4 linked regions of the Ovis aries genome follow. The protein of the gene in region 2 purifies or fractionates together with the protein of the main gene of each other region. This does not show direct contact. Links are inferred from orthologs where the notes say so. Each region holds a gene or a part of one and is shown on either strand. Other genes may lie near its edges. The genes, in order: ITGA6, CD9, PTGFRN and IGSF8.

What was found.
Region 1: the proteins of CD9 (region 2) and ITGA6 purify together in Homo sapiens (co-immunoprecipitation; 3 studies listed by BioGRID and IntAct, with this or other methods). This does not show direct contact. The link is inferred for Ovis aries from reciprocal best matches to the Homo sapiens genes CD9 and ITGA6.
Region 3: the proteins of CD9 (region 2) and PTGFRN purify together in Homo sapiens (co-immunoprecipitation; 8 studies listed by BioGRID and IntAct, with this or other methods). This does not show direct contact. The link is inferred for Ovis aries from reciprocal best matches to the Homo sapiens genes CD9 and PTGFRN.
Region 4: the proteins of CD9 (region 2) and IGSF8 purify together in Homo sapiens (affinity purification with mass spectrometry; 5 studies listed by BioGRID and IntAct, counting the BioPlex papers as one, with this or other methods). This does not show direct contact. The link is inferred for Ovis aries from reciprocal best matches to the Homo sapiens genes CD9 and IGSF8.

What each region holds. Positions count from the first base shown.
Region 1 is NC_056055.1:137,377,076-137,384,910, forward strand, and holds part of ITGA6 (integrin alpha-6), read right to left. Parts: intron 6,426-7,835; coding exon 6,294-6,425; intron 3,197-6,293; coding exon 2,986-3,196; intron 2,283-2,985; coding exon 2,089-2,282; intron 1,947-2,088; coding exon 1,858-1,946; intron 1,154-1,857; coding exon 1,035-1,153; intron 1-1,034. UniProt on the Homo sapiens protein: Integrin alpha-6/beta-1 (ITGA6:ITGB1) is a receptor for laminin on platelets. Integrin alpha-6/beta-1 (ITGA6:ITGB1) is present in oocytes and is involved in sperm-egg fusion.
Region 2 is NC_056056.1:209,983,702-209,992,258, reverse strand, and holds the start of CD9 (CD9 antigen), read left to right. Parts: upstream 1-2,822; 5' UTR 2,823-2,963; coding exon 2,964-3,029; intron 3,030-3,426; exon of another isoform or gene 3,427-6,593; intron 6,594-8,470; exon of another isoform or gene 8,471-8,557. UniProt on the Homo sapiens protein: Integral membrane protein associated with integrins, which regulates different processes, such as sperm-egg fusion, platelet activation and aggregation, and cell adhesion.
Region 3 is NC_056054.1:94,307,187-94,315,809, reverse strand, and holds the start of PTGFRN (prostaglandin F2 receptor negative regulator), read right to left. Parts: upstream 4,449-8,623; 5' UTR 4,140-4,448; coding exon 4,091-4,139; intron 1-4,090. UniProt on the Homo sapiens protein: Inhibits the binding of prostaglandin F2-alpha (PGF2-alpha) to its specific FP receptor, by decreasing the receptor number rather than the affinity constant. Functional coupling with the prostaglandin F2-alpha receptor seems to occur.
Region 4 is NC_056054.1:111,122,993-111,129,584, reverse strand, and holds the end of IGSF8 (immunoglobulin superfamily member 8), read left to right. Parts: intron 1-1,611; coding exon 1,612-1,989; intron 1,990-2,785; coding exon 2,786-3,247; intron 3,248-3,547; coding exon 3,548-3,955; intron 3,956-4,159; coding exon 4,160-4,573; intron 4,574-4,904; coding exon 4,905-5,020; 3' UTR 5,021-5,035; intron 5,036-5,198; 3' UTR 5,199-5,454; downstream 5,455-6,592. UniProt on the Homo sapiens protein: Member of the immunoglobulin superfamily (IgSF) that links tetraspanin-enriched microdomains to the actin cytoskeleton and plays several important roles in innate and adaptive immunity.

The sequences.
Region 1 (7,835 bases), on a different chromosome or scaffold from region 2:
TCTAACACACTGTTTATAATAGCTAAAAGTCAGACTATCTAAAAATTCCATCAACCAAGGACTCATTAAATGCATATTATGGAATAACATTGAGCTTTTAAAAAGAATAAGATTGATATATCTGCATTAACAAGGAGAGAAAATGGAAGAGGTTAATTTTTACAAACCAGAATAGAAGACAGCAGTTATAGTATGGCTGTTTGAGGATACCCTAGAAGTGGAGAGAGACTCAAAACTATTAAAAGTTGTTTGATGGAGGGAAAGAATACTGGAAAACTTGCACTTAACTGCAATTCTGTATTAACCTTTTTTTAAAAAAAGAAAAAGAATATGCTACTTTTTAAATTAAAAAAAAAATGTTTTGCACAATTTTTCCTGGCAATTTCCAGCAGTGATGGAATTGTTGGGATAAGGCCACTGAGACACAGCTGATGGGCAAACCGCTGCAGCCTTTCTGGAGATCATTTTGGTTGAAGGAATCACAAGTCCTAAAACACACATGCCCTTCAACTTCGCAACTCACTTTTAGGAAGTTATCATAAGGAAATAATCTAGGACATGAAGAAAAGTAAGGATGCTCACCAGCTTTGTGTATTAAGGAAGTAAACCACCAAACCTGGAAAGCAACCTAACTGTCCAATGACAGTATGACAGTATGGCAGTTGTTAAATAAACTATGACCCAAAATAAACAACCCAAAAGTTGTTAAATAAACACATGACCCATGTAATGTCTCAGGCAACCGTTAACTTCATTTCAGAAAAGTACTCAACGACAGGGAAATAACCCACTATGCATTATACTCACTCACAGAAAAAGGCCACTATTCATTACAAACCAGCAAAAGCAGGTTACAAAACGATATGTACATTACAATCTCAATTTTGTTAAACATGTATATTCACAGGAAAAAACCTAGACTTTGCCTTTGAAGTACAGTTGTTACAAATTCCAATTCAAAAGGTCAAAAAAAAAACACCCAACTCTAGTGTAAGTAGATTTACCAAACAAGCTTAAAGCCAGAGATTACATACCTGAATATAGTCACTGAATCTGAGAGGGAGCCAACAGCAACATCAGGGTAGGAATTTCTATCAAGGTCCATGTTCCCAGCAATTGAATATCCAAAAAAAGGTGCTTTACCCTCAAGAACCTGAAAGGAACAGGACATCAGAACAGACACCTGGCTACTAAGATAAGTCTTTCATTTATGCTATGAAGATAAGTCTCTTTTGAACTGAAGTTAAAGAGTTTACTTACAAATTATATTAAATCACAACTGAATTATAAATAAGTACACACATGATCAAACATTCCATGCATTTTATTTTCACAAAAGTTACCTGATTTATGGTGTATCTCAAAAGACAGAAGAGAATTTTTGATAACTTTATGTACCATATTAAGTCAATCAGTGTATTTCAAACCAAACTTCTCTTCCTGCCCTCCAAATGTCTTATTTTCCTCTAAAGCAATTTCTAGATTTTGATATCTGATTCTCTATGCAATTACAATCATCTCTTATGTCTGTCCAGTTTCATCCCTTCTTAATATGCTACTAAAGAAAATATATCACATTCTATCTCTTTATGCTGTCAGGGTAGAAGAGTCTTTTCCTTTGGCTTAGTTTGATCCTTAGTTTACCAAAGAAATTTTACAATTTAAAACAAGCAGCTCATTGCATTTAAATCTATTTACAAGCTATCTTCTAATACATTTTTTATAAAACCAAAGTTCATACTATTTTAGACTTGTAAGTAACACATGATTAGTGTGAAAATTCACATAAACCTAAACAATCCATTGGAAAGAAAACTACTGAGAGCTTAACTGTAGAAATCCAAGTTATCTGGTTACCTGTGTTGGTTTGGTATTTATTCCATTCGCAGATCCATGATAGATAAAAACCTTCCCCTTACCATCATAGGGTGCTCCAACTGCAATATCTGTTAACAACACCACGTTTTAACAAATGTCACATTTTAAAAGCATTCCAATACAATGTTTTAAAATAGATCATGAGGACTCACTATTTTAGACAATCACATAATCTATAAATCATGACCATTTCACAATCTATTTGTCTACCTGGGTAGCCATCTTGATTAATATCACCAATATTTTTGACTGCAATGCCAAACATAGAATCTTTGGTTCCATTAAGACGAATCGGCTTGACGTTATTCCATCTGCCTTGCTGGTTAATGTAGACATATGCTGCACCTCCAACTTCTCCACTTCTATCAAAATACTGTGGGGCTCCAATAACTATATCTTGCCACCTGAAAACATAATGAGGGGAAGAACTGTAAACCACTGGCCAAAATATCAGCAAGCTTAGGGAGAATTGCACATGAACGGGTACTAAGGACACAAAGAGATATGATAAAAAGGACCTCAAATCTGGAATTTATATCTCATCAATTGAAGTATTTTTTAAAAAAACTAGGTAGCCTCTAATAACACCCAAAGGAAAACATGAACTGTAAGAACTTGAAGCCAGTTTCCAAGTTACATCTATAGTGCAGAGAGCCTCCCAGTAAAGATTCCACTCCCTTCCACCTTTGACCCTCTACCAAAGACCCAGATTGGCACTATCAACCAGAGACCTTTGTATCAACTTTGTCACCAATCCCTACTTTCAAGAGGACATTCTGGCTGCTCCAAAATCCCCTTAAGAAACCACAGAACAGAACCACATAGCTGTCATTTTTTTTTTTTAAGTTAAATTTTAATTCTCACAGACCCATGATCCTAGGACATAGTAAAAACTGAAGCCTGAAAATGTAATCCTACATCCTAGGGAGGGTAATGAATGTCTGCTACCAAAATATAAGTGAGGAAGACTGATGGGATGGTAAAAATTTGGCAGCAGAAATATTCTTTGCATCAACTAACCTGGAAAGGTATTTCCTCTCAACACCTATAGAAGCCAGAGCAGCAATGAGTTCTTTGCAAATGTAAACTAACCTCAGAGGCTCTTACCCGTCTTTGTTGAGGTCCACCACTGCCACGTCATAGCCAAATGAAGACGCCAGCCCTTCCCCATCAAATATGTGCTCAGGGAGAAGGTGTGCAGACTTCAGGTCTCTTTTAAGCAAAACCACAGCTCCACTATGATTGGCTCTAGGAGCACCAGATACAAAAGTGATCTCATCTTTGGAAACAATACCTTTCCCTGAGTCCAAAGAAAAGCCTAGAAAAACAAAACATGGTACTTATCAACTCTGTTTTTCAGGAGGTATGTAACAGTGGTTACTTCATCACTACCTTTCGTTTCCCACCACTCTCCTTCTGACCCTCCCCCCAAGCTATCATATCTATGATAAGAATTACAGCACCAAGAGATTTGACTCAAGCACAAAATAGTAGGTGTTTCCCTGTTAAGGTATTTAAAGAAAAGCACCTGTGCTAGTTAGCATTTGTGTAACTTCAATCATGAAGCATACATGCTGCTTAAGAATCAGTTCAAACTCCATTCCAATACTGAAACTGCTGTAAAAGGAGATCAAGCTAGATACTAAATTATCAAGGGAAAGTTACATCCTGTACACCAAGATGCAACCTGACATAGCATAATTGAGTGCCTATGGGTCTTGCTATAATGCAGTGATTAGTTAACTTCTATATTCATCAATCTCTCTGGTCATCAGGCAATAAAAGAATGCTAACAACATTAATATGCCACAGCCAGCATTTTACTCCTTAGGGCCAACTTAGTTCTCAGACAGAAACATGCAAACAAAATCATGACTGATGAGATTTGAGAACCTAGCGTAAACAATAGAGGTGAGCAAGCTGTCATCCATATCAATTACACACTTGTTCGGAGGGCAGAAAAACATTAGAAACCTCATCATAAAGCATCAGGTAGGATGTCAGATTACCAACTGAGGTTAAATGGCAAACAGACACAAATGTCCACACATCAAAATTGTCCAAATAAAGCAAACCTTCCTATGTGAAGATGAGGCAGATGCAGAATATTATAAGCTCACCCTTTTAATTGGGTTTTGTTTACGAAAAGCATCACCACTACTGCTGCAGTTCTCAAATTGTGAAGTGAGTTGAAAAACAGGAAGAGCTACAAGTTTAGAAAGGAGACACAATTGAATCCAGCTCTGGAAGCCATTCTGGCTGCAGAGCCTCAACAGCGGCATGCTTTTTGTGTGTGCTTCACTTGAAATGAAATAGAAAATAAAAAGATTTATGCTCTGTATGGATCAAAAAAAAAAATTCTTAAATGACCATGACCAAGACTATTTATTTGTCATCTCAGAGGTCACAAACCTAGGTAGCTATTCATCATCACATCAGGGGATGTGTCGGGCTGCTCCCTGGGAGGCTGTGTTTTATAAACAAACTGATCGGGATCTGTATAGGAAACGCTGGTCAAAAACAGCAGGCCTGTACACATGCACGGGACAGAAGAGATTGAAGAAAAAGCAATTATGCTTGGTAAGAGGCACACTGGCTACTGCCGTGCTCGCAATGATGAGGCCACCGCTGCATCCGAAAGCCACCCTCTTTGCCAGCTTCCAAACCTCACACAGATCATTTCCCTCCTAAAACCTGCTGATTTTTTTGAAATGACAGATGCACAGACAGCCAAAATGTAGCAGTAGGAATGTGGCACTATTCTCTCCACCCCGACCCAGTACCCGCTTTTGAGGAAACCCATTCTGAAAGTGGCAAATGTGTTTAATAAAAAAAGTTTAATAGTTTCACGTGTTCCAATAGACACTAAGATAAAATCCATGGGCATCTATCTTACGAACAAAAGTGTTGGCTTCTTGACCAGAGCCATTAAACTGAAATGGCATAAACTAATCCCTTAGTAACTCATTTGAAGAGGTTTTCTGTTAAAATGTATTCAAATAAAATATTGGCTTATTGATAGTATTAATATTTACCTTGAAAATAATTTTACCCTGGAAAATCCTATTTAATAATTGAGACTGCAAACCACTCAGCCCTGTGTTCCCCTCCTGTCCTGCAAAGCCACTGACAGCATTCACATACCCAGCTGCTTCCCACCCTGTCCCAATCATTTTCATGAGCATTTCTTCCCTTGGCTGGGGGATTATTAATTGTGTGACCTCGGACTAGGAAATTTCCCTCAGTCACAGGGATTTTTTCGCCCATCAGCAAAAGGAAAATAATACTTATTTTATAATATAGTTGGAAAGAACAAATAAAACCTATAAAGTAGTAAGTAACAGTGTGTGATTTATAGCATACAGTAGGTGCTTAACAAATGGTAAGTATAAGTTTTCTCCATTCTATGTCTTCACATCAAGTTTTTAGTTTAGGGGTGGGGGAGTTTCTGAAAAGTTTTTTTTAATTAACAGTATTGTTCATACATATCTATATAATTATAACAATTTTTAAAGAATATGTTTACTAATATCTTGTTTAGAATTATTTTTAGATCTACACCCATTTATTTCCCCTCTGTAACCTTCCATTGTTCTAGTAAGATCTCCAGCATATGGTACTTCTCTATTTTTTAAAAAGAATAGGATACTATTTAGATTTAGTAGATTTTTTACATTTTTTCCAAGAATTACACAGTAATTATTCTTTATGTCAACTCATACCAAGAATTAAAGCTTTTAAAAGCCTTTGTGTAATTACCATAATGCACATGAATAATTTAGGACACCCATTAGTAACGCAAACAAGCGTCAGGAGTTAAGGAATTGGCACTTAGACCACAATCTGGGTGTCCTCGGAGCTGCTTTAGCAGTGCGGCTCTGGCTCGGCTGGAAAGCCCCCCGTGCCACCCACCAGGGGCCTTGTGACAATCCAGAAGCAAGGCCAACCCTTGGAGAGGGGCAGTCACAGAGGATGGACCTGGAGGTCCTGACCTGCCACTTAAGAATAACTTCATAAATGCAGCTCTTCAAGAGTATCTCTCCGAAAAGAGACTCTGAAGGGAGAGGAAGACAACTCGGCCTCCTGCTTACAAGCATGCATTGTGTCACGGCTGCATGGACCGCCTGGTGCGGGTTACAGAAGTGGACGGTGGCTCAGGAAACAGACCTCCAGGCAGGTCAGAAGGTTTTAGGAGACAGTAGGTTTCCTCCTGCTTTGAGGCAGCTCGGGTCAGATACCCCAAGTATCAGTCAGAATACCTCAGGGATCACCAAGCTCTAAATTCCACTAAATGCAGCCACAGGCCCCCAGCCCCAGTCTGGCCCTTTCTCAGCCTCGCAGTCCAGGGTCCTGTGACAGCAGTGTCACACAGAGGCATCTGAGGAGGCAGGCATGTCATCTACTCTCATGCCTACCTAAGTAACTGTTAGCAGGAACAGGAACTAGACTTTCATCATGATCAGTCTCTCCACCAACTTCATAAGGCCCATCTTCAAAGATGTTCATGTCAAAAAAAGTGTTATTCTTTTGCTCTACGCGAACAATCCCTAAAAGAATGAAATGGTAAAAAAGAAAAAAAAATGAAGATGAAACAAAATAAAATAGATGGTTCTAATAAACATTCCTGATGTTATCATTAAGTTCAGAAAGAAAAATTTGGAGGGACAAAAGGCAGAAGGTGACTTCTGAGGTTATTAAAGTTAAAAAATCCTGTTTGTGTAGATTTTTACATCAAACAAAACTGTTCTAGTAATAAAAAAAATGCACACGTGTTTTCATGAATTATCTTTTTAATGCCATGAAAATGGAATTATAGATGGAAAATGGAATGCTTAATTAACTAAACCTACAGAAAACTCTTTAATTATATGAACCTGATATATTTTATATTTTCTATAATCCTAAATCAATTTACCTTCTCTACTATGGTGTGAAAGCAAGATTAGTATTTTGATATTTTCTTCCAATCATTTTTAACCAGAGATTTTAAATCTTCAAAAAATTTTCAGACCTAATCATTGAAAAGAGAATATCTCACATAATAAGTCTACTATATGATTTTTTTTTTAAGTGGTAACATTTTAAGTCAGCATTTACAAAGCAGGCAAGATGTATTTCCCAGAAATTAAAACATACATAATTGGTGGGTGTTTTTATTTTGTTTTACCATGTATGCCGTCTCTTGCTAAAATAAAACTATTTCTAAATTCCGTGTGTTATTAGGTCAAGATAACCCAACAAATGCTGCTATGTGGAAGATTCAGCTCAGGGTGGGTAGCCTGAGGAAATTATTCCCAAAGGTTGCTATGAATGGCATACCCAGGAAGGTGCTCAAGGACCATTCCTAACAGAAATCAAAACTTGGAAATTTCTGAATGAACAATGAAAAATTTTCCCAATGTTTTTCTGACTATACAAAATGTAAGAACATAGGATTTATTCCAATAAATTTCTTCCCCAAAAATCTTATTTCTGAATCAGATATATTACTCTTTGCTATGAATTAGAATCAGGTAAATTGTCCTTTATAATAGAGCGGTTTTCTACATCTGCTTAATTTTTTCAGAAGTTGAACTTTTATTACAGGGACACGGATCGTGTTCCTCCAGGCAAAAAATATGATGTCGTGCCCTTCACCTACATCTTGAAATTATTTAAACAATATCATTCAACAACCTTTCCACAAGTTATCTGCGATCATCTCAAAACTTCCTAATTTCTTATCTTTCTAACTACCCTGCTTTATTAGCAAAACATAGCCCGAGTAATATATGACTAAAGAAATGTCTGTATCAATATAATATTATTTGTATACAACACCACTCAATTCTTCTCAGTTTTCAGATCCCTATGTTAAAATTAAAACTTTCAATTTCATCAGAAAAGCAAATACAAAACAGCAAAAACTAATGCTAACTATATTTTTACAAAAGGAAGTTAATTAGTTATATGAATGT
Region 2 (8,557 bases):
AGGAAATCTCCTTATCCTTTGGTGAGAACCAGGAAAGGAATGTTTAAGGAGGCATGGAATTTTTACAAGTGAAGAGGGGATGGTTAGCCAGCCAGAGGGAACACACCACATGCCACTTGCAGGGCTGGGGTGCTGTGGAGGGCAAAATAAGGAATTTTGACTTAAGTCATTGAATGTAGGAGAGCTGCGGAAAGTATTTTTTTCTTCCTGTTTCTTTGAGATGTCAACTGCAAACTGGCACTTTCCAAGAGCATTGCCAGTGACTGAACAGCAAGGGCGTTTGCCATCTGCCTCTGCAGAGACTGAGCCCTGCACTGCTGCAGCTGCTGACCGTAAACACCTGGAGGGGGTTCAGGGTGGAGAGTGAGGCACTCTGTGCTCCAAGGAACCTGGTGGAACTGGTTTTCATACAGTTGGATATTTTCAGGAACAAATTTTATGATTCCAATCCTTGCCATCTTCTATCTAGAAAAGCACTAAATCCCTTCATGATGACATCAAATCCTCGTGACTAGCAGAAAACCTTTCATAAAATGAGTGCTTGATGGTATCAAACTCCCCATTCACCAAAATCTTGTATATTGACCGTCCTCCCACTGCCCTTTTGGAGCAGTCTCTCAGAGCTATCTGCGGTGCTGCCTCCTGGGCTGCAGTCCTCATTTTGCCCCAAATAAAACTTAACTCACAACTCTCACGTTGTGCATCTTTTTTAGTTGACAGAGATATAATTGACGGACAGCACTGTATATGTTTAAGGTGTATGACATAATGATTTGACTCATGTACATCATGAAATGATTACCACAGTAAGTTTAGTGAATATCCATGTTTCATATACATATATGAAAGAAACAGAAAAATATTTACGTGTTTTTCATTGTCCTGAGAACTCTTAGGATTTGTTTTCTTAACAGTTTTCCTCATAACTTACAGCACTATTGATTATATTTATCGTATTGTACATTAAATCCCTAGTACTTATTTATCTTACAACTGGAAGTTTGTACCTTTTGATTGCCTTCATCCAATTCCCCTTCTCCTATCTCCCCACCTCCACCTCTGGTAACCACGAATCTAATCTCTATCTCTGAGCTTGTTTGCTTGTTTTTGAAGTATAATTGACCTACAACATTGTGTCAGTTCCTGATACATACATAACATAGTGATTCGACATTTCTATACATTTTGAAATGATCACCACAGTAAGTCTAGTTATTATCTGTCGCTGTCCAAAGATATCACATAATTATTGACTATATTCCCTACATTGTACATTTCATACCCATGACTCATTTATTTTGCAACTGAAAGTTTGTACCTCCTAATCTCCCTCACCTATTTCTCTCCTCCCCCTACCCACCTCCACTTGGCAACCAACTGTTGGTATCTCTGTATCTGTTTCTGGTTAGTTATACTTTTTTTTTTTTTTGGATTCCATTTGTCTTTCTCTCTCTGATTTATTTCACTTAGCAAAATACCCTCTAGGTTCATCTATGTGGTTGCAAGTTTTCCTTCTTTTTATGGGTAATATTTCATCATATATATTTTTTTTTCTTTATCTATTCATCTATTGATGGACACTTCTGTTGTTTCCATATCTTGGCTGCTAGAAATAATGTTACAATGAACATAGGGGTGCAAATATATTTCCAAATAGTGTTTTCATTTTCTTTGGACAAATACCCAGGAGTGGAATTGCTGCGTAGTTCTATTTTTAATTTTTTAAAGAACCTCCATACTGCTTTCCATAATGGTTGTATCAATTTGTATTCCCTCTCAACAGTTTTGGGGGCTTCCCCGGTGGCTCAGATGGTAAAGAATCTGCCTGCAATGCGGGACACCTGGGTTCAATCCCAGGGTTGGGAAGATCCCCTGGAGGAGAGCATGGCAACCCATGCCAGTATTCTTGCCCGGATAATCCCATGGACAGAGGCGCCTGGTGGGCTGCAGTCTATGGGGTCGCAAAGAGTTGGATACAACTGAGTGACTAAGCACAGCCCAACAATCGAGGAGGGTTCCCTTTTCTCCACATCCTAACCAACATTTGTCATTTGCTGGACATTTTGGAGCAGAGGAGAAACACCCTAAGAACTCTGGCACAGGAGCTCAAAGATGTGACAGTGGGCAGTGGCAAGGGCAAGAAGGAGGGTGATGAGGAGAAGAGGCAAGAACAGAAGCCAGGCTACAGCCTTTTTCTTCTCTGGGGCATCTAAACCACAGATCCAGGAAGCAACCCCACATTGTCCAGCTCTCAGACCTATCACTATTCATTGATGGTATTTCAGGATTACTTCCATAAGCCCCTACGAATCCTCCCATCCGGAAGGCAAGCCTCCATGTGCCGAGTGAAGAGTGTGCTTCAGAGTTAAAGTGTACAAGGAGCCACCCCAGGGAGACAGAAACAGGGCAGTTTCTCTTCAAATCGGGCCCCAAGCAAGAAGAGCCCTCATTCTGCGCGCCACCTTGGGTAAGGGGCCTCTGCCCTCACCACCCACCGGGGAAGTTCTCCCTAGGGCAGAGGGCTCGGGAGGGGCAGAATCCAGGAGAGAACCGAGAGGAGTGAGGCCTTCACATAATTCCAGGATGAAATCGGCCAAGGATGACGGCCTAGAAAGACTCCAGGACGGTTGGGAGAAAAGGGAAGGCAAGGCGGGAAGTCAGGTCCGGCCAACTAGGTGGGGAGCACTGAGACAGAGGCGGGACGAGCCGCGGGCCCCCGGACCTGGGCGGGGCGTGGCAGGTGGGCCGGGGGCGGGGCCTGCGGGGCGTGGGCGGGGCGGGGCCGGGACCCGGCACATGCGCACCGCGGCGTCGCGCGCCCGAGGAGTGGCACTTTTTAAAAGTGCAGCCCCGAGGCCAGCCAGCAGCCGCGCGCACCTCAGTCCACAGCCCGGTCCCGCCCGTCCCGGCCTCACGCGGCCCCGTTTCACATCTGTCCAACCCAGGCCACTCTAGCTCGCATCATGCCGGTCAAAGGAGGCACCAAGTGCATCAAATACCTGCTCTTCGGATTTAACTTCATCTTCTGGGTGAGTGAGTGGACGGCCGCGCGCGCCTCTCGGGGTCCACCTGTCCGCCCGGCGCACTCAGTCCGCGATCGGTTTTGCCGGGCACTCGCCCCGCCTGCGCGGGGAAGACTCCTGGCGGGGAGGAGAGGGCTCTGCGGCCGCCAGCTAACTCCTCGGCCCGAGTCGAGACGGGCGGGGCGGGCGGGTTGATCCGGGGCGCGTCCGAAGCGAGGCGGGCGGCTGAAGAGCCCTGATGAGCTGCGGTTGGAGTTGGTGTATGCTCCCACCCCGAGCCCCTCAGAGTGCAGGAGGAAGAATCAGAGCACCCCTCTGCTGGGGACTTAAGGCCCTGATCGTGGGAGGCTGTGGCGGACTGTGCGGCTCGTGACCCGGGCGGGGTCCCCCGAGTATCCGGGGCCGCGAGGAGGGGAAGGATGCGGACGCAAAAAGGGACTAATGACTCGCCAGGGACGCTCAGCCAAGAGCTGTTGGCACGTTTGCACGGGAGGGGAAGGGACGCCCCAACCGCGGATGTCGGCATCCCGGGACCCCATTCGTGAATGAAAGTCGGGGTCCCTCCTGCATCCCCGACCTCTCAGACTGATTCTGAGCCGGCGTGAGAAAGTCCGAGCTCCCTCGAAACTACCTGAAAGACTAGCTTGTCTTGATTTTTTTTTTCCCCAAAGGGCGATAAGTATCTGGACTGGAGAGAACTCCGAGGCAGTTGGGGAGAGTTGGGGCCGATGCTTATCGGCGCCCGCGTGGGATGAGTCCCGTGTTTCTCCATTTCCGGGAGGGATCAGGTGGCCACCCCACCTCCTCCCCCGCCAGCCCACCCAGAAGCCGGGTGGGGCCACCGGGAGCGGACTGTCACCTGGGGAGGACGCAGGCCTGGGAGTTCCAGGACTCCCGCTGCCGGCTACTGGCAGCTTCTCAGCCTACGGCAGCCTGAGGCGGGCAGCGGGGAAGGGGAGAGGCCCCTCGGAGCCCTCCCTAGGGGGATTAAGGGGCCCCCCAGAGACAGAGGCAAGGGGTAGGGGACTTGGTGTCCTAGTTCCAGGGTCACTTCCCCCGCTCACAGGTGGACGGTTTTTCCCCTTTGCCATTAGGAAGGCATTTGGAAAGGCAGACCCTGTGCCGCTCTCCAGAGAGAGATGGCTATAGAAGCAGGGGCATGCCACAGGAGGCTTGTAACAAAACTACTTATTCACTCGGATCTGTTTCCCCATGAGCCCCAGGGGAAAGTCTCACAAGATTTGCTCCTCTCCCTGGAGCTGACAGGGTATGAGATGGACCTGCCCTTGTTCAAGTCATCACACCAAACACCTGCCCTAGTGAAGGTGGAGCATAGACGTGCCTTGCCCAGTCCAGGGCCTGCTCTAGGGAGACCCTCCATTCCCATCAGTCCCAGCAGCCACCCAGCTAGCTGCCAACCTGGCTTCCTCCTCACCCCCACCGAGACACCAGAAAAGAATGTGGAAGGCGGGCTAGCCCCGCCTTTCCCCACCCTAGTCCTTTAAGGAGTTTTCCTCTAGCCCCTCCCTAGCACCTTCTTTCCCCTGCTAGTCCCCTGGTGACTCCTTGGCTTCCCAGGTGGCGCTAGTGGTAAAGAACCCACCAAGAGACATGGGTTCAACCCCTGGGTCGGGAAAATCCCCTGGAGGAGGAGGGCACAGGAAGCCATTCCAGTATTATTGCCTAGAGAATGCCATGGACAGAAGAGCCTGGCAGAGCCTGGTGGGCGACTCCCAGACCTCTCCGGCAGCCTCCAGCCTGCCACCCCACCCATGTCCAGAGCTGCCCCAACCTGGGCATCAGTGCTGCTGATGGGCAGTGTCACCTGAAACAGAGATGACTCATTTTGGGTGTAGAATTAGGAATGACTTTCGAGGTCATCCTGTCCAACTTCTTCACAGTAAAGAAGTGGGAACCGGAACTGGGCTGATCCGATCAGCATCACGGGAACCAAGCCAATACCTCAGCCCCTAGATCCTTTAGGTCCTGTCCTCTTACTTCTCCATCGCAAAACCAACAAGGGGGCCTGGCAACGGGTGGTGTGGGGGGTAAGCAATAGCTGCATGAATCTGAATCAGCTATTGTTGTCGCTGTTGTTGTGTCGTCGCTAAGTTGTGTCCAGCTCTTTTATGACCCCGTGGACTGTAGCCCACCAGGCTCCTCTGTGTGTGGGATTTCCCTGACAAGAATACTAGAGTGGATTGCCATTTCCTTCTCCGGGGGATCTTCCCGACCCAGTGATCAAACCCACATCCCCTGCATTGGCAGGAAGATTCGTTACCACTGAGCCCCCAGGGAAGCCCATTGTTCAGTACTCCTGTATTAAGGTCCCTATAGAGATGAAGCCCTCATCTCCTAGGAGGTGATGGAGTAAAGGAACACTGTGATCCCTTGTGCAGCACGGTACAGCCTGCAAAGTCCTTTTCCAAGTTCCACAATACGGTCAGAGCAGAAAGCATTACCCCCGTTTTTACCAATGACCAGGAAACCAGTTCCCAGAGAGGTTCTGTAACTTAGCCAGGGTCAGATGGCTGGAGAGCAACAGAGATAAGTTTGAAAACAAGTCTGATGGGCTGCAGTGTACCCAGTGCACTTTCTGTCACCTCTAGCCACCATACCCAGTTGGATGAGAATGACAAGAGGGTGGCAACAAGCCCTCAAAAAGTGATTTTTAAGGGAAGCTGTGACCTGAGGGAACTCCTTGCTTGGATCGTTATGTCGTCACTTCCCTTTCTGTCTTGAGACTCAGAATTTATAAATTTAGTGTTTGGAACCTGATGTGGCCTTAAAGAGCAGGAGTTGGGAGGGTAGGAGTCACCCATACCTCATGGCCAGGGGATGCTGAGACGGGTGGTCCTGCAGGGATCCAGAGAGGAGAGGCCCACCTTGATGGCAAGGGCAATCAAGGAGGGAGGATGTACCTCTTCCCTGGCCCCCACTCTCATTCCTGAGGGACCCTCAGTGACAGCACAGCCTGCACCACCTGCCCCTCACTCCCCAAAGTAAGACCCCTGGTGCCTGCAGCCCAGTCAGCAGTCACTCTGTCCTTCCAGTGGCCCCAGAACTCTTAACTTCACAGTTCTGTTTTAATTGTTTCTGGGTTTCCTTTGACCTGCTTGCCCACCCACCCTCCAGAAAAGATTGAGAGGGGAAACCTGTTGTGATGCCAGAGTGGCAGCCTCAGCTGTTTAGTGGGGAACCAGAGCTGGGCCAGGCCAGGCTTTCCCATTCTACCCTCACCTCCCTCTGCCCCTTTGCTCACTGTGTCCCCCCACCTCATCCCTGTCCCCTCCCTCACTGATGGGAAGAGCGGGGAATTTCTCTTTCCAGAGAAACAGTATCTCCTGGGCCTAAGACAGGCTTCGTGGAAACCAGAGATCAGGGACCTGGGTGTTAGTCAGCTCTGCCCTCAGCCCACTTTGAGCATGTCACTTTTGTTTGTGTGTGTGTGTGTGTGTTTTATTTAGCTGCGGCATGTGGAATCTAGTTCCTCGACCAGGGCTCGAACCCATGCCCCCTGCATTGGGAGCATTGTCTTAACCACTGGACCACTAGCGAAGTCCCGAGCAGGTCACTTTTTTTTTCTTCTTAATATATACATTTTATTGAAATATAGTTGACTTACAATGTTTCAGGCACACAGCAAGATGATTCAGTTATACACATACACATTTATTATTTTTGAAGTTATTTTCCATTATAAGTTATTAGAAGATAGTGACTATAGTTCCCTGTGCTATACAGTAACCAAGCAGGTCACTTTTGAACTCCATAGTTCAGATTCCTCATCTGTAAGACCAGTGAGTTGGAGCAAATGGTCCCAAAAGGTCAGCCTAAGAAACCAGCCCCACCCCCGTGACCTACAGCGAAGGACATTCCCACACGACCCAGAATAGGAGTCCGGAAATGGAAGGGTATAGTGGGTACCCAGGCTTGGCTCACAGAGTGGCTTCATTTGACCTTTATTTCTGGGACCTGAGCCTTGCCTCTCTTTCCTGTTAACCCTGGAGTTACCTCCAGTCCTCCTGGGTGAGGTCTCCCCCTGGGTGAGCGTTTCATGGAAGTGCTGCCCAATGGTCAGAGCACCAGCAGCTCTGGGTTCGATTTCTGCATCATCACAAGGAGCTGGTGCCTGCCCCCCCTGCCCCGGGGTGGCTGTGGGTTACACGAGCATGTGCTTGTGATGCACTTGGCCCAGGAGCTTAGTCCTGGGTGGCTCTTATCATCCCTGAGGGGAAAGGACGTAGGGAGGGTGGGAGCCACTGCCTGAGAAGTGTGGAATGAAACCAGAGAGGTAGCCAGGTGCACACCCCTCGTCCACACACGTCCGGGCTTCTCCTCCTGCGTCACAGCCAGCCTCGTTCCTCCACCCACCTCTGCGATCCCCACTTCAGGACACTGACTCCATGTCATGAGTGGCCCCACCTCTGGAAATCAAACTGCAGAGGCGCTGGGATTCGGGGTCTGGGTCGGGGATGGACCAACAGGGGTGGCGCTGGCTGATGCCCCTCCTACCTAACCTGCGGCTTCCCCCCAGAGGCTGTTTGCTCAGTGCTGGGCTCGGCAGGCTGCTGGGCTCTTGCATGAAATGGCTTCCACCCTTTGGCAACCGGACAGCCGGAGCCCGGCAAGAGCCGGCTGTGTTTGCACAGAGCCTGGCAGGTTAGGGGAGAGGGGAGGGGAGGCCAGGTGTCTGCCTCTGCTCAGGAAAATAGGACTTCTCCCTGCCTGGCTCCTGATGGCTTTTACCCCCTCCACTTTGCCCTCCAGTGCTTATCAACAACAGGTCTGACTCCTGATGGGAGCCCTGGGGGCGGGAGTGGGGGGAGCAGGATTCCTACACAGGCACACACACTCTACTCTCTTTTCAAAGTGGCCTACAGCACCATTCCAGACCTTCCTCTTTGTGCTCAAACGAAACCACTGCTGGTGCAGAACCATTTTGATAAACAGCCCTTCGGAGGGCTGTCCTCATCTGAATGCTTACTCTGCTAAATGAAGCCTTCTGCGGTTTTAGACCTCACCCATCAGTGTTCTCACGCTTTTCCTTTTTGTGTCCAAGGCGAATCTTCCCTCTTACACGCAGAACTGTGTGTCCGTGTTTGATGTGTCTTGTTTTCCTGTTCAGTTCCATTTTGCAAGGAGGCTCGCCTTTTGGGATCCGTTGCACTGTCTGGGCCTTAATACCCCTGGGACTTAACACAAGCACCTTTTCTACTGAAGAACACAAGCCTTGACTGGCTTTCTTGGGTCCCTCTGTCTGCAGTGTGGGACCTGAAGTCACAGGTCACCATGGCTTCCGTGGTCCTGTAGCCTCCTTGGCGGGTAGTTTGGGCAGAGGAGCGTGGAGAAGTTTCTCAAAGCTGCGTGTTTATATTCTGTGTTCCCGCCGCCCCCAGATTTGCAACCAGAGTCTTACAGAAACCATCATTCCCTCTAACCTACAGGAGAGCACTGATTTCATCGTTTGGGAACTTGAAAATCTGGGGAAGAGAATGTCAGACCCGGGTTCACCCAGAGATCATCCTTTGCAA
Region 3 (8,623 bases), on a different chromosome or scaffold from region 2:
GTATGCAGAAGTGGTAGGAGCCACTTCCGAGCTTAGCCCAGGAAGCCTCTAGATAGCCCCCTCCATGCTCTTTTCCCTTTGTGCTACGCGCTCAGTCACTCATTGTGTCTGACTCTCTGCAACCCTATGGACTGCAGCCTGACAGGGTCCTCTGTCCAGGGGATTTTCCAGACAAGAATACTGGAGTGGGTTGCCATTTCCTACTCCGGGGGATCTTCCTGACCCAGGGATCAAACCTGCATCTCCAGTGTCTCCCACATTGGCAGGTGGATTCTTTACCACTGAGCCACCTGGGAAGCCCCCTATTTACGGGGCTGGAAAGGGGATGATGACAACCCAGGTGAACTTAGAAACTACAGGCTGAAGACAGCAAAACCACCATCAGCCTGGGAGCTCAGAATGCCCATGTGAAACAGCAGTCCCACCCGACCATTTCACTGGAAACACCTCCAACCCACTCCCCGGCCCCCCAGGAACGGCTAGGAAAGACACTTCTGTTGTTCGAACCGCTGCGCTTTCAGTCTATTTTGTGAGAACAATTCAGCCTACCCAATAGAATAATACAGTACCCATCTATGAAATTTGGATTTTAAAACAGATGCAATGTTTTTGTTGTTTAGAAACTATTTTGATGGGTTTGCAACTTTTTTAAAAAAGATGCACACGAAGAGAGAGAGTATCTTAATCCCTCTCCACAGTCTTCATACCTCCCACTCTCTAATTCATGCTGCACACTAGGACTGACCTCCTCAAACACATCACCATGCTGTCTCAATCTCACACTGCGAATCTGCAATGGCAGACCATAACCCACAGATAAAATGATATATACATGCCTTCATCCAGGCAGCCAGGATTTACCAAACACCTGCTCTGTGCTGGACACCCAGTATGAGCAATACTACAGTGAACAATACCAACCTGGTCCCTGCCTCATGGGATATAATCAGAGTGGGGATTTAGAGCAGGAAAAATCATCCACAGGGAGATAAATAAGTACTCTGATGGGAGAAGCACAGTTGTGCAGCAGCACCCACAAGGCCAACATCCAAATGGCAAGGACCTCAGCACTGCAGGAACAGCTTTGAGAATCCAACCCAGACCCACGTTTCCAATTTGCCCTCCTAGTGTATCCTCTGCCCTCCTCCAGTTTCATGGTACTTCCATGCCCTTTCTGAATGAACCATGTCCTTCCACTTATCCACGCTGGATGCCTTTCCCCGGAGCCTGGAAGCCTCTCCCATCTTTTCTCTCAAAATACTAATTATCCTCAAGGCTCAGCTCAAATGTCACCTCTTCAGCAAAATCAACCTCAATCCCAAGTCAAAATTAATCATCCTCTTCCTTGCTTCCTACCAGCACCTGGTTTCTATGTCAGGTATGTCATTCTGGCTTGTAGTTAGCTTTTATTATTAACTGTCTGCCCACCCCAACTGACCACTCAGTGAGACGCTATGTCTTGGTCATTTGTCTGGGACACTCTTATTGCCACAGTGGGGATTCAAGAAATGCTGTATATACAGATGGATGAGACATAGGCCATGGAAGTGAAAACCTGAAGCTGAGTGTGTTCTGCTGTGATCATGATAGGTAGACTCATTTAGAGAAGCTTTACGGAGGAAGCAGTTTTAAGGGGGAAAGGAAATAGGTAAGAGGGAAGAAGAAGGAGACACTTTCCCAGGTCATGAGAAATGGAAAGACCAGAAGGTCTACATACATTCAATGTAAAGGGTAGCAAACAAGTTCCTTAGAATGAGAAAGGCCCTACTCAGAGAGAAGTAGCAAGGAAGAGAATACAAGGGGCAGAACATCCTCAGAAGAAAATCATAAGGGATCATGGAATTAAGGTGCACCTCCAAAAACAATCCGAAGGGAGGCTGGTAGGAAAAGTCAAACAGGAAGATGTCAGATCTGTGTAGGGAGCTGTCAGAACTGGGGCTAGGACAGTAGCTTTAGATAAGGATGAACAGAAGATGCTGGAGTCTGCACTATAGGAAAAGCGACAGAGTTGAGGGACAGAGTGAATGTGGAGGTCAAAGAGAGGGACAGTAAGATTATGCCCAGGTTGCAATACAAGAGGAAAGATGATCTAGCTTATCAACATACTGGGTGGCAGGAATCAGTACAGCGTAGAGTATCACAGGGAGGGCATCTGAGAGGTCAAACTGAAGCCACACCAAGTGAGGTTCGGTATGGCAGAGTTATTACATAAACATGAAGTTCAGTAACTGTTAGGGGACAAGGCATTCACTGGTGACACCAGAGACATTCCCGGTGCATAGGTGACATGAGACGTCCAGCCAGGCAGGGTGCACTGGTATACCTCAAAGCTACCCCAAGCCGGGCTTTCCCCACTTCTGTTTTTGCTTTCGTTAGTCTCTCTTTGCCCTTTCTCTCTTTTCCTCTTACCATAGTTACTCAAAGACATTCTTTTCAAATTTCTACCTGGCCGCACCCACTTAACTAGTGCAAGGGTTGTGAATCACACAACTCTAGGGAGGGCCATTCACACAGGCAGAACGTGACAGCAGCTCCTAGAGTTGTTCCTAGAGTTGAGCAGTGTACAATCAGTGCAACCAGGGGCCGCGGCCCTGCCTGACCCAGACACATCAGCCAATTACGTAAAGGGTGTGGACTATCACCAGCAGTGTGCACCAGAGGGAAAACCTACAAGGGTCCCAGAGTGAAAGGAAGAGAATAAAAGCACTAAGATCTGAGAGCACAGAACAGATGCCACAAAATCAAGTGAAAGACGTGCAAGCTTTCTGCACCTGGTGGCATCTAAAGCAATGTGGTGGCTGGGTGAGCTCTCTTAGGGAGGCAGTTCCAGAAAACCCCTCAGAGGGGAAGGAAGAAAACACAGTAGCAGCTAGGAAGGCTGGCCCCCACCAGCGGCAGGAGTCACAGGGGTGGGGACAGTGTGAGACCCGATGCCAGGCTGGGAGTGGCAATGGAAGGCCTCCACTGGGACCCTCTGGCCGTAAGTGCAGTGTAGTCACTTAGCCTGTGTGCAGCTGGGGCCTGGCTAGGATAGACACCACACACTGTGTGGCTTTATAAAAGATTCAGTTCTGCCATCTCCAGGGGTGAGGAAGAAAATCCCCGCGCAGGTCACAGGATTCCTTCTGTTCTGGTTGACGCTGACTAAAGGCTTCAAGTACAGCTTTTAAGAGTCAGCCTCCCTGATCCACGGTGGCCACTTATTAAGCAGATGATTTCTGTGGCTGATAACCACTTGGTTATACTAATATAACCACATTATACGAGGTGAAGATGGTGTCTGTGTCTATGGAAGATGGGGGCGGGGTGGGGGGGAAACACCAAAGATTCCTTGGGTTGGGTGGAGGAAGCTGGGTCAAATGATCAGGAGGCACCGAGGTTTAGAGAGTGTGCAAGACAGGGGACATCAAGGGAGAAAAGTAACAGGTAGGAAAAGTTGAAGAAGCCAAGGCACCCAGGTCTTTGTGTGCAAATATGCAGCGAGGCAGCTTCTACAAGCGCTGAAGGAGAAGACTGAGGCAGAAAAGCTAGTTACAGCTAACACAACGGAGGGCCCCGCACACCCATTCTGACTGTAGCGCTCGGGGCCACCCGGTGACCTTCGGAGAAGGAAGTTGGTGGATCCTCTCGCTTCCCTGGAAAGGCAGCTGGGCGCGGGGTAGGGTGTGCGGAGCGCGGTTCTGCCGCTCTCGGCCATGGCGGGGCAGATGAAAGCCGCAGATTTCCGCTCGCAAGCCCGGGACTAGGGCCGGGACCGCAGGCACCTTCCGGGCCGGGAGTTCAAGGTGAGCCGGCAGCTGGCGACTAACAGGTAGGGAGGGCCGGGGGAAGCCGGCCGCGGGCCACTCCCCCCCTGCACATGGGGGCGAGGCTCGGCCTACAGGACGGCGACTCGCACCCCGCGCCCGGCTCCGGGCGGCCCCGCGCCCTCTCCCCAGCCGGGCCCTGCCTCCCGCGGACCCCGGCCAGGTCTCCCGGGAGCGGCCCCGGCCCCGTTGGCGCTCCAGGCCGCGCGCGGCAGCCGCGCCCCGCCAGTCCCCCCGCGCCCGGCCGAGCCCCCTGCGCCTCACCGGGCCCCGCGCGCACTCACCCAGCGACAGGAGCGCCAGCAGCAGCGGCCTCGGCGCCAGGCGCCCCATGCTCGCCGGGCGGGAGCGACTCTCCCCCTCCTCCTCCTTCCCCGCCGCCTCTCCTCCTCCTCCTCCTCCAGCTCCGGCTGCTCCAGAGTCAGCGCTCCTCCGCCTGGGCCGCGCGCCTGCTCCGCTCTCCTCGCGAGCCGAGAAATCCCAGCGCTGGGGCCGACGTGCGCCCCTCGCTCCGCTCGGCTCACGCCCGCCTCTGCCCGCCTCCTCCAGCCGGCCGGGCACCGGGAGCCGGGCGCCAAGGCCGCCCCGCCGAGCCAAGCTTGCAGCCCCGACCGCTTCCCGAAAGCAGGAGGGAAGAACCGCAGCACCCGCCCGCCCGCGCCTCCCATCCGGCGCTTTGCCAGCAACAAACACAAACTTTCCCAAGCCCCTCCCCGCTCCAGGTAACGGAGGCAGCGCTGGGACCACCCGCTTAAAGGGGAGGAGGCGTCGGAGCCCACCCAGCTCTCCCCCCTCGGGGCCCCCGCCCCGCCACAAACTTTCCTCCGACCTTTAAAAGTTGGCCTTGGAAAGACTCGTCTGGAAATCCCATCGCTTGAGCGCCATTCCTAGCCACCCCGCGTCCCACCACTCTGGAGTCCCCACGTGGGCCTCCGGGTCCCTCTGCTAACTCCCCGCACGGTCACCGACTCGTCCCGAACGAAGCACCCACCAACCAGCCGCTAGGACTTGGCTAAATATTATCCAGATAGGACTGAAAGAGATGAAGGGACTTAAACGCCGGGGATGCCAGCCTCCAAGGTGCAGAGGCGTGAAGTGTTTGGGTGCCTTGCCCGAAGATTCACAGCGAAGTGTCAAGACCAAAACCCAGATCTCACAGGCTCTGCTCACTGCCCTGTGGTTGGGTAGGCCTCGCCTCCCGTCGCCCACCTCCTTCCTTCCTTCTCCCGGGTGCCTATGGCACTGATTAACACTTACCACAAATAGACCCATGGTGGGGGGGTGCGGACGCTCAGAACCCAAGTGTATTAATAGCTTCAGTACTTCATATGGAATGTACTCTTTAAACTTTTTATTTATTGCTTTAAGTGGACAGAACTGGTTGCCAATAAAGATTCTTTTCTTCCCCTACAATGGGGCTTTGTGCTTTTAATTTGAATACAAAAGACCCAGTATTAGGGAGAAATTTTTAGTGTTCATTGTTTAAAACTTCTCAAGGATAATTCAAACACAGCACTGGTGTCCCCCACCCCAACCCCCCAGTGCCGCAGCCTCTCATTAATAAGTGCAAAACAAAGCACAGATGTTAGTGGGGAACTGCCCCAACTAGGGAGAGGAACTTTGCTTTTTACCTCAGTACATCATTATTTCCACTAACAAGTGTCTCTTATTTCCACTAACAAAAGTGCCTTTAGCCAGGTATGAACCCATCTGCAAGAGACTTAAAAATTTGTCCCTGATGGGCCAATAATGTGAGTGTACTTAATGCCATTGGACTGTAGACTTTAAAAACAGTTAAAATGGTAGATTCTGTGTTATATATGGGACTTTCTAGTTGCTCAGTGGTAAAGAATTTGCCTTCCAATGTAGGAGATTCCAGTTAAATCCCTAAGTTGGGAAGATCCCCTGAAAAAGGAAATGGCAATCCACTCCAGTATTCTTACCTGGAGAATCCCATGGACAGAGGAGCCTGGCAGGCTACAGTCCATAGGGTCGCAAAGAGTCAGATAATACTTAGCAACTAAACAACAACAAAAGGTTATATATGTTTCAACATGCTAAAAAAATTTTTTTTAAATTTATTTTTGTCACAAGCCTTTTTTCATGCTATTCACCCACCCAGCAGTTCCTTTGCATTTCCTATCCCATGGAATCCTCTAGAATTTCTCTGGGAAGTCTTTCAATTTAATTCAATCAGCCTTAAATGCAAGCCTCATGTTAGGCCTTGAGAGATGCTGAAGCTACAGAGAAGAGTAAGACCTGACCCCTCCAGAAGCTCAAATCTTTCCCTTTCTTAACTACCCACAGTGCTTAACATTTGAAGCACACATTCTGGCACTTGGTCACATTCAGTTTAGCCCATGCTACGCACTGAATGTACTGTGTCCCCCAACCAAACTCATATTGAAGCCCTAATCTCCAAAGGTATTTGGAGGTGGGGACTTCAGGGCGTAATTAAGTCCAGAGGATGGAGCCCTCATGCATGGGATTAGTGCCCTTATAAGTAGAGACGTGAGAGGCATTATGCCTACATCTATGCTGTGTGAGGGTACGGCAAGGAGGCATTTGTCTGCAAACCAGGGGAGGGCCCTCACCAGGTACTGAATGGGCCAGCATCTTGATCTTAGACTTCACAGCCTCCAGAAGTGGGAGACATAACTGTCTGTTGTTTAAGCCACCCAGTTCATGATATTTGTTATATCAGCTCAAGCTGACAGCAAACACGGTGCTCCCATCTCTGTCTAATAGTGGGAGAGAGAGACTGTCATGTGCTCGTTTTATGTCTCACATCACTGTAGAGTCGATGTTTGCTAAGAACTTTTGTTTAACAAAGTGCAAGTCAGGAAGTATGCTGTCACATGGCGGGTCTTCAGTAAATATTTGTGGAGTAAACTAATGCCACTTACTGGGCTCGAGCCTGGGGAAACAGAGGTGAATAAAACCGTTCCTGCCCTTGAGGTGCGTGCAGTCTGTGCATCCTGACTCAGCACGTGTGACAGCACTGCCAGATGCAGTTGTCAGTCCTGAGGAAGCTTGTCCAAAAAAGCTCAGTGGGGATGACTGTGAACCGAGTCTTGAACGACCAGCAGGTCTCTAGCTGTGAGGAGGACGGATGAGCCAGCAATAGCCATTGTGTGGAAGGTATTCTTCTCTCCTCCCTTCCCCACACCCAGATATTATTAAATTAATGGTGCATCTTACAGTCATTGAAACAGCAGTAGTTGGTTGAAATGGAAAGAAGAAATAAGACAGTCCAGGCAGGGCCAGAACAATGAGGACAAAAGTGGATGGTTTCTTGGTAGTGGGTAGTCAACTGTGTCATGTCATGAGAGTCAGCCCTAGATAACCGTTTATGTAGCAGAAAATGAGGCTAAATTAATCACTACAGGTGCTTGGACATAGCACCACACCCTTTGCACAGCCCTGACTACCAGAGGATGGAATATGTTTCCAGCTAAAGGAACATAGCACCTGAAACCGACCGACACAATGTGTTAAGTCATAACTCTGGAATGTGATGATGCTTTCATTATAAAAGACTTTTATTAATATTTCCCGAGTCAGTAACCCCATGTATAGGTAAGGCTTTTGCCCCAGACAATTGTTCCCAGTTTGCTTAGTCTGTAGGCTTGCCTGGGGCAGGAAGGCTCACTCTCCAGTAACTGATCCACACCCATCCCCAAGGAGGGGAGTCCCACCTCTGTAGGTTTCCTGCCAGATCACGGAGACCCTCAGAGGCTCAGGTTACAACAGCCAACCCTTACAGTCTTTTGATTACTGGGATCTGTCTGCAGGCGTTGCCCCTGAAAACCCCTGAGGGTCCCACATTCTCACTTGTAACAGGTGTTCCTGCTGAGATCAGTAAAATCACCTTACTGGTTAAAGGTGAACATGCAAATGTCAAAAGGTCCCAATGAATGAATTTGCCAGATTATCCTAAGAGTCACCCAGACCCTGTGAGTTACCTGTGCTGCTTCCGTCAGCCCGTTCTCTCTCTCTCCTTCCCTCGCTTTCTCTCTGCCTCTGTTTCTCTACAGATGACCCTGATGCTACTTTAGCAGAATGGCCAGCAAAAGAATATGTCCTACAGCATCATTTCCTTCCACTAATCATTTTCACTACGTTTCCTTTGTATTGGTTCCAGGTGTCTGTTTCTCCTATTGAAGTTAAACACGGGGATTCCTAATCAAAAAGAACTTTAAGATTTAATCACAGAATTAGAGAATGGAATTAAGAGTTTAAAAGGTAGGGGTTGGGGAGAGGAAGACTTCATTTACTGATGAGTGAACGTCATTCAGGGAGGCCATGAGGGAAGTTGTGGAATGCCCATCTGACAAGTTTCAAAAACAGAAAAGGGCCTTACGTGCCTGGAATGGGTTAAGTATGATCCTGCCAAAGGCTGTGCTCTGTGACCTCTGGCCTCAAAGACCAAAATGGGAGATAACAGAGAAAGTGTCCTTAGATGTCTAGAACTGGCCCTGATTCCAGACCAGGAGTGACTTCCAAGCATTTACTCCTTCAGCGACGCCGGGGTGAAAGTGTGAGGAGAAAAATAAGAAAATGGAATGAGACAAGGCTTTTGCAATAAAAGCTTTCTACAAAAGTGAGGCATTATTACTATATTAAGAGTATGCATAGCCCTTGCCCTAGAGGAGTTTATAATCTAGTTTAGTGTATCAAAAGACCTGAAATGCTATAAAGGAAGGGGGAGAAGATTGATGCCAAAAGAGCGAAGGAAATTGAAGGGGAGTAAGTAGAGAGAGAGGCACCAGTTATTGTGTGTAGTTTTGTGCCAATATGCTATCATCTGGGCTGAA
Region 4 (6,592 bases), on a different chromosome or scaffold from region 2:
TGGCAGCTGGTTTCCCAAGGCGGTGAGGGTGACTTTCCCATGGGGATCTCCAAGCATCAGCAGTTGTGGAGCCAGGAAGATGGGAGGGGGCCCTCCTGAGCAGAGTCTGCCCCTAGGCCAGCTCCGTCATGCTGATTATGAAATGCCCTGAGGCAGGGCCCTTCTGAGTCACAGGCTATCTCCCTGTCAAAGTGGAGAGCTCCTAGCTCTCCTCCAGTGTAGTGTGGATGGGGCTAGTCCACAGGGTACAGCTGGGATTGGGCATGGAGCTGGAACTCGGCTTCGGCTTCCAGACTCCCAGCCTGTGCTCTAACTGAGCAGCCACGAGGTCTCCCCATGACTCAGCCGCAGGGAGAAGACGGAGCTATGGGGAGGGCTTCTGGAGGACAGTCTGACTACAGACTAGGTGTTTTCCTCCCGCCCCTGCAGAAAGGTTAGGGTCTGTCCCTGGAGTGATGCTCTGCTTGGTGAGGCCATTGCCCTCAGGCCTCCCCTTGTGTGTTCCCATTGCCTCTGGCCAGCCAAGGATAGTAGGAACTTGGCCAAGACATTCTACTTCTCATACCTTACCTTTCTCATCTGTAAGATGGAGGTAGAGAGTTGACCCAGCCCTCCTTGTGTCCTGAGATTCTGTGATTTGGGGCTGTGGAAAGACAGAAGAAGAAGCTGAGCCGTCCAAGGCCACAGGGCTACCCTTTGAGGGCAGGCTAGGGGTGAGGGTGGGGTGAAGAAGAGTTTTGGCCTCTCTGAGTAGAGAAAGATGGGAGGGGACAACCGTGAGGGCGGGTTGGGGGCTGGGTGGTGGTCGTTACAGCCTCCCTACAGAAAGCGAGCCGTATGTAAATGAATGCACACTATATGCAAATTAAGGCTTTTGTTTAGGGGGTGGGGGGAGGATTGTGTGTCAGCTGGGCCTTCGGGGAAGGTTGGCAGGCACTGGTGGGGGAGGGGAGCCTCTGCCCCCAGAGCCCAGGGCAGAGGCTGGTTCTTGCCCCATGAGCCTCAGCTGCCTCGGCAGCCCCAGAGGGCGGAGAAGCAGTGAGCTCATGACACAGCTGGAGAGGGGGGAGGGATGCTGTGGTGAGAACTGACAGGGCCTGTACCCTCTCCTGCCCGGGCCAGTGGCTCCATTGTCTGGAGTCCCCTGGCCCAGGTGACACAGCTGGGCCAACCAGCCCTTCTGATCAAAGTTTTTCCAGCTCCTTTTAAATAAAGGAGGGGGACATGTGGTCTCAGGATCCCTTAGCTAGAAGGCTCACCTGGTCCGCAGACAGAAGAGTGGGGTAATAAGGGGAGGTGCAGCTGGAATCAAGCAATGGTTAAATCAGAAAGCAGATACACCCCTTCCTTCACTTAGCTGCTCTGCTTCTGGCCTGCCAGGAACAGGGATGATTCTGTGTTCTGAGGCTAACCGGCTCTCTCCCACCACCTCCTTGAGACCCAGGTGTCTTGCCTCCCAGCATCCTTTCCTGGTTCTCAGAACGGGGCCCAAGCTGTACACCGAGTGTCCTCGGGTTTCCTTTCCTTTCACAAGCAGGCAGCAAGGATGATGCGGGTGCTGGGGGGATGCAGTGAGGACCCAGGCGTGCCTAACTTCGTCCTTCCCCGTAGGAATTGGGTGCTGTGCCCGGGAAGTGCTGGTCCCTCAGGGGCCCCTGTACCGCGTGGCTGGCACTGCCGTCTCCATCTCCTGCAATGTCAGTGGCTACGAGGGCTCTGCCCAGCAGGACTTCGAGTGGTTCCTGTACAGGCCCGAGGCCCCAGAGGCTGCCCTGGGCATTGTCAGCACCAGGGACACCCGGTTCTCCTACGCCATCTTTGGGCCCCGAGTGGCAGCTGGCGAGGTTCAGGTGCAGCGTCTGCAGGGTGATGCCGCGGTGCTCAGGATCTCCCGCCTGCAGGCCCAGGATGCTGGCATTTACGAATGCTACACACCCTCCACTGATGCCCGCTACCTGGGCAGCTACAGCGGCAAAGTGGAACTGAGAGGTACTGGGCCCTGAGAGGGTGGGGCCACTCTCTCCCAAAGGCAGGAAGTCAGGGCCAGCCGCAACTCAAGAGGGACTTGAGGTCCAAGGAGGTCCCCTAATTTGACTTTGTGCAAATTAGTGACTGGCCTGGGACTCTAACCCAGAACTCTTCATTCCAGTCCACAGCTCTTATTGAGGAGAGCATGGCAACCAACTCCAGTCTTCTTGCCTGGAGAATCCTCATGGACAGAGGAGCCTGGCAGGCTACAGTCCATGGGGTCACACAGGGTCAGACACAGCCGAATGACTAAGCACAGCACAGCTCTTACTCTATCAAGCGGCTTCCTGGGAGACGGGGAAGTGTCCTGAAGCTTTCCATTCCCTGGAGGGTGGGGGAGCCCCATAGGGTGAACAGACTCCATGCCTGGAGATTTCAGGATCCAGATCTGGGGGAGGAGTGGGGAAAGTAGAGGCAGGGTAGGAAGAGGGAGACCATGTGACATTCTTGCTCTCTTAAGGTTCTTTGTCTTCCGGGAAGGAAGACAGAGCCACTTAGCTGAGTATTTCAAACAGGGGTCACTCTCAAACATAAGGGTGAGTAGGCGATGAGCTGGTTCTATGAAACTCAGCAAGTATTTACTGAGTGCCTGCTGTGTGCCAGCACTGGGCTTGGCACCACTGGGTTACAGAAGCAATGATACAACACGAAGTCTCTGCCTTCTAGGATCTCACGGTCTATTTAGGGAAATAAGATGTAGGTGGAAAACAGCTCACACAGGTCAACAGCGCCCCCTCACTCCACCTGCTCTCTCTAGTTCTTCCAGACACGCTGCAGGTGTCTGCTAGCCCCCCGGGGCCGCGAGGCCGCCAGGCCCCGACTTCACCCCCTCGCCTCACAGTGCATGAGGGGCAGGAGCTGGCACTGGGCTGCCTGGCGAGGACGAGCACGCAGAAGCACACACACCTGGCCGTGTCCTTTGGGCGGGCTGTGCCCGAGGTGCCTGTGGGGCGAGCGACTCTGCAGGAAGTGGTGGGGCTCCGGCCCGACCTGGCAGTGGACGCTGGAGCCCCCTATGCCGCACGACTGGCAGCCGGGGAGCTGCGGCTGGGCAAGGAGGGGTCCGAGCGGTACCGCATGGTGCTGGGCGGTGCCCAAGCGGACGATGCAGGCACCTACCACTGCACTGCCACCGAGTGGATTCAGGATCCGGATGGCAGCTGGGCCCAGATAGCAGAGAAGAGGGCTGTGCTGGCGCACGTGGATGTTCAGACACTGTGTGAGTGCCTGGGGTCCCCCAGTGCCAGCTGGGAGCCAGAGTATCTCAGGGACCCTAGAGGACCGTGGTCCGAGACCTCGAGTGAGCAGTCTCGTTAGCATTGCTTCCCGTTAGCATCTGTCCCCATGATGGGTTTTCTCTGCTCAGATATGGGTGTGGAGATGGGAGGGCCGCGGCTGAGGGTGAGAGTCGGGCCCCCGGGTGGGAGAGATGGGGGGCAGTTTCCTCTTGTCAAGGGGGGACAGGTGCTCCGTGCCCTCTCCTGGCTCCTTGACACCTCTTTTCCTGCCTGTGTTCCAGCCAGCCAGCTGGCAGTGACAGTAGGGCCTGGTGAGCATCGGGTCGGCCCAGGGGAGCCCTTGGAGCTGCTGTGCAATGTGTCGGGGGCCTTGCCCCCCCCGGGCCGTCATGCCGCCTACTCTGTGGGCTGGGAGATGGCACCCGCAGGGGCACCTGGGCCCGGCCGCCTGGTGGCCCAGTTGGACACGGAGGGAGTGGGCAGCCTGGGCCCTGGCTACGAGGGCCGGCACATTGCCATGGAGAAGGTGGCCTCCCGAACTTACCGGCTACGGCTGGAGGCTGCCCGGCCTGGGGATGCGGGCACCTACCGCTGCCTAGCCAAGGCCTACGTCCGAGGGTCTGGGGCCCGGCTTCGTGAAGCCGCCAGTGCTCGCTCCCGGCCCCTCCCCGTGCACGTCCGAGAAGAAGGTGAGCGGGGCAGGCTGGACCCTGGACAGGTTTCGGGGTCTGTAGAACCTTTCCCTTCCGTTTCTGAGCCTCTCTCCCTCTCCATCAGCTGCTTCCATGTCTCAGCCTCACACTCCTCTTCTAAGATTGTGGGAACACTGAATTTCTGGGGGCTCAGAAAATCCCATGTGCCCTGACCTTTCACCTCTGACCTTCGTTGTGCAGGTGTGGTGCTGGAGGCCGTGGCCTGGCTGGCGGGAGGCGCAGTGTACCGCGGGGAGACTGCCTCCCTGCTCTGCAACGTCTCCGTGCGGGGCGGCCCCCCTGGGCTGCGGCTTGCTGCCAGCTGGTGGGTGGAGCGGCCGGAGGAGGGGGAGCTGAGCTCTGCCCCTGCCCAGCTGGTGGGCGGGGTGGGCCAGGACGGTGTGGCGGAGCTGGGGGTCCGGCCTGGAGGAGGCCCCGTCAGCGTGGAGCTGGTGGGGCCCCGAAGCCATCGGCTGAGACTGCACAGCTTGGGGCCTGAGGACGAAGGCGTGTACCACTGTGCCCCCAGCGCCTGGGTGCAGCACGCTGACTACAGCTGGTACCAGGCGGGCAGTGCCCGCTCGGGGCCTGTCACAGTCTACCCATACACGCATGGTGAGTGACGCCCGCCCTCTCCTCCTTGCTCAGGCCTCCCCCCATCCCCCGCTCTTGTTCTCTCCTTTGCATCTGATCCTCCCACTAGCTGTCCCTCTGGTCCCTCTTTCTCCTCCCAAAGTCCAGCTTTCGGCCGTTCGCCACCCAGCTGCTCCAGTGTCCTGGTGGTGGGTACTGGCTTGAGTGCAGAGAAGGCAGGGAGCCGGCAGAAGACTGTGTGTGTGGGGGAGGTGGTGTGGACAGCTTGACAGAAGGTGCTGGCAGATGGGTGGGACTGTGGGTGGAGAGCAGGGACACCCCAGGCTGAGCAGAGCCATCCTCTCTCGCCCAGCCCTGGACACTCTGTTTGTGCCCCTGCTGGTGGGCGCGGGGGTTGCGCTAGTTGTCGGAGCCACCATCCTCGGCTCCATCACCTGCTGTTTCATGAAGCGGCTGCGGAAACGGTGATTCCTCCCACCCCAGGTGAGGGGTGAGAACCCCCAGCCCTGTCCTCCCCAGTCCTGAGATGAACGGCTCCCTCCCTGGCCCTACCCAGCCGCTCTCAGCTCTGCGGGACCCTGGCAAGGGCCAGGAGGGAGTCACGCTCTCCCTAGCCCCCTCACAGCCTGCTCTCCTGTTCCTGCAGATGTGACTGTCTTCCAGCCCAGCCGCAAGCCTGCCTTTGGTGTCTGAATACCCTCTCCCTCTGCCTGCCCTTCCTTTAATTTATTTGACCGACTCCCACCCAGAGTGGGAGACGTGACCCCCCCATCCCCCACGCCTTCCTTCCCAAGCTCCTCCCTCTGGCCTTCTGTTCATGATCTCATACCCAGCCCAAAGAGAGGCAGTTCCCTGTCCTAGAATTAGTTTTTCTAAAATGTGAATAAACTTGTTTTATAAAATCCGGGCTGGCTGTGTCTTCCCTGCCGTGGAGGCTGGGACGGGTGGCAGGGAGGCTGCTGGGGGCTGACGGCCTCTTCTGGACAACCCGGGTCGCTCTTCCCCCTACAAACACCATCTGGCCTCCGTGGGCCATGCCACCCACCCCAGGAGGGACACCTGGGTCCCATCTGCTGTCCGAGCTGTCAGTGCAGAGCTGATTCCTGTAGGGATTCTTGCTTGGGGCGGGAAGGGGGGAAGGGGGGTGAGTTCCAGCTGAGCAAGCCTTCGCCTCAAGACTTCTCCCAGGTTGCAGGGCAGGGGCTTCCAGGGCCCAGCACCCCCCTTTCTGAGTTCCTGTGCTACTCTACAATCTCAGCCTCTTGATCAGGCTGATCTTGGACCTGACTCCTCCCCCCAGGCCCTGGGGCCTCAGCCTTTCCCTCCTGATCTTCATTATTCGGTCTGACAGCAGCAGAATGGAAGCCCCAGAACACAGCCGCCTGGGTGGCGGGCGGACAGCACTCAGAGGAGCCCCTACAAAGCCCCTGCTCCTCCTGGCTGCCCCCCATCCCCTCCCGTGCCCTTGGGGCTCCCGGAATTTGTCTCTGCCTAAGGATTCTCTGATCTCTTTCAGCTCAGTGATTTAAACATTTATTGAGCATTACCAGTTTGCCAAGTGTTGTTTTTACAGATGGGGCAACCGAGGCTCAGAGAAGTGACGCGACTTGCCCAGAGTCATAGAACTAAGTAGTGGCAGTGTCAGGACTCGAACCTGGGTCTCCAGACTCCCTGCGCCGCACACAGCGGGGCCCTGAGAGGTGGCTGAGCGTGAGGAGAGGGGCGGCAGGGTCTCAGGCCTCCCGTCCAGCCTCAGTTCTCTGCAGTGGGTGAACTACCACAGGAGCAAGTGTGGGCACCAGCAGCCCCCTCCCGTCTATCCAACTCCAGCCGTCTCAGCAAATTGAACCAAAAGTACACCCCACCCCACCCCCAAACATTTTTTTTTTGCGAACAGTTGATGCCAGGGTGCAGGGACCTCATCTTTGACTGATGGTGCCCAGATGACCCTGATCTGAGGCAAAGACGTCCTCTCTGAGCTGGCATGGCTCCTTCCTGCTTCCAGGAGGTACAGCGTCTCATAGGACCCCAGCTGCGCAG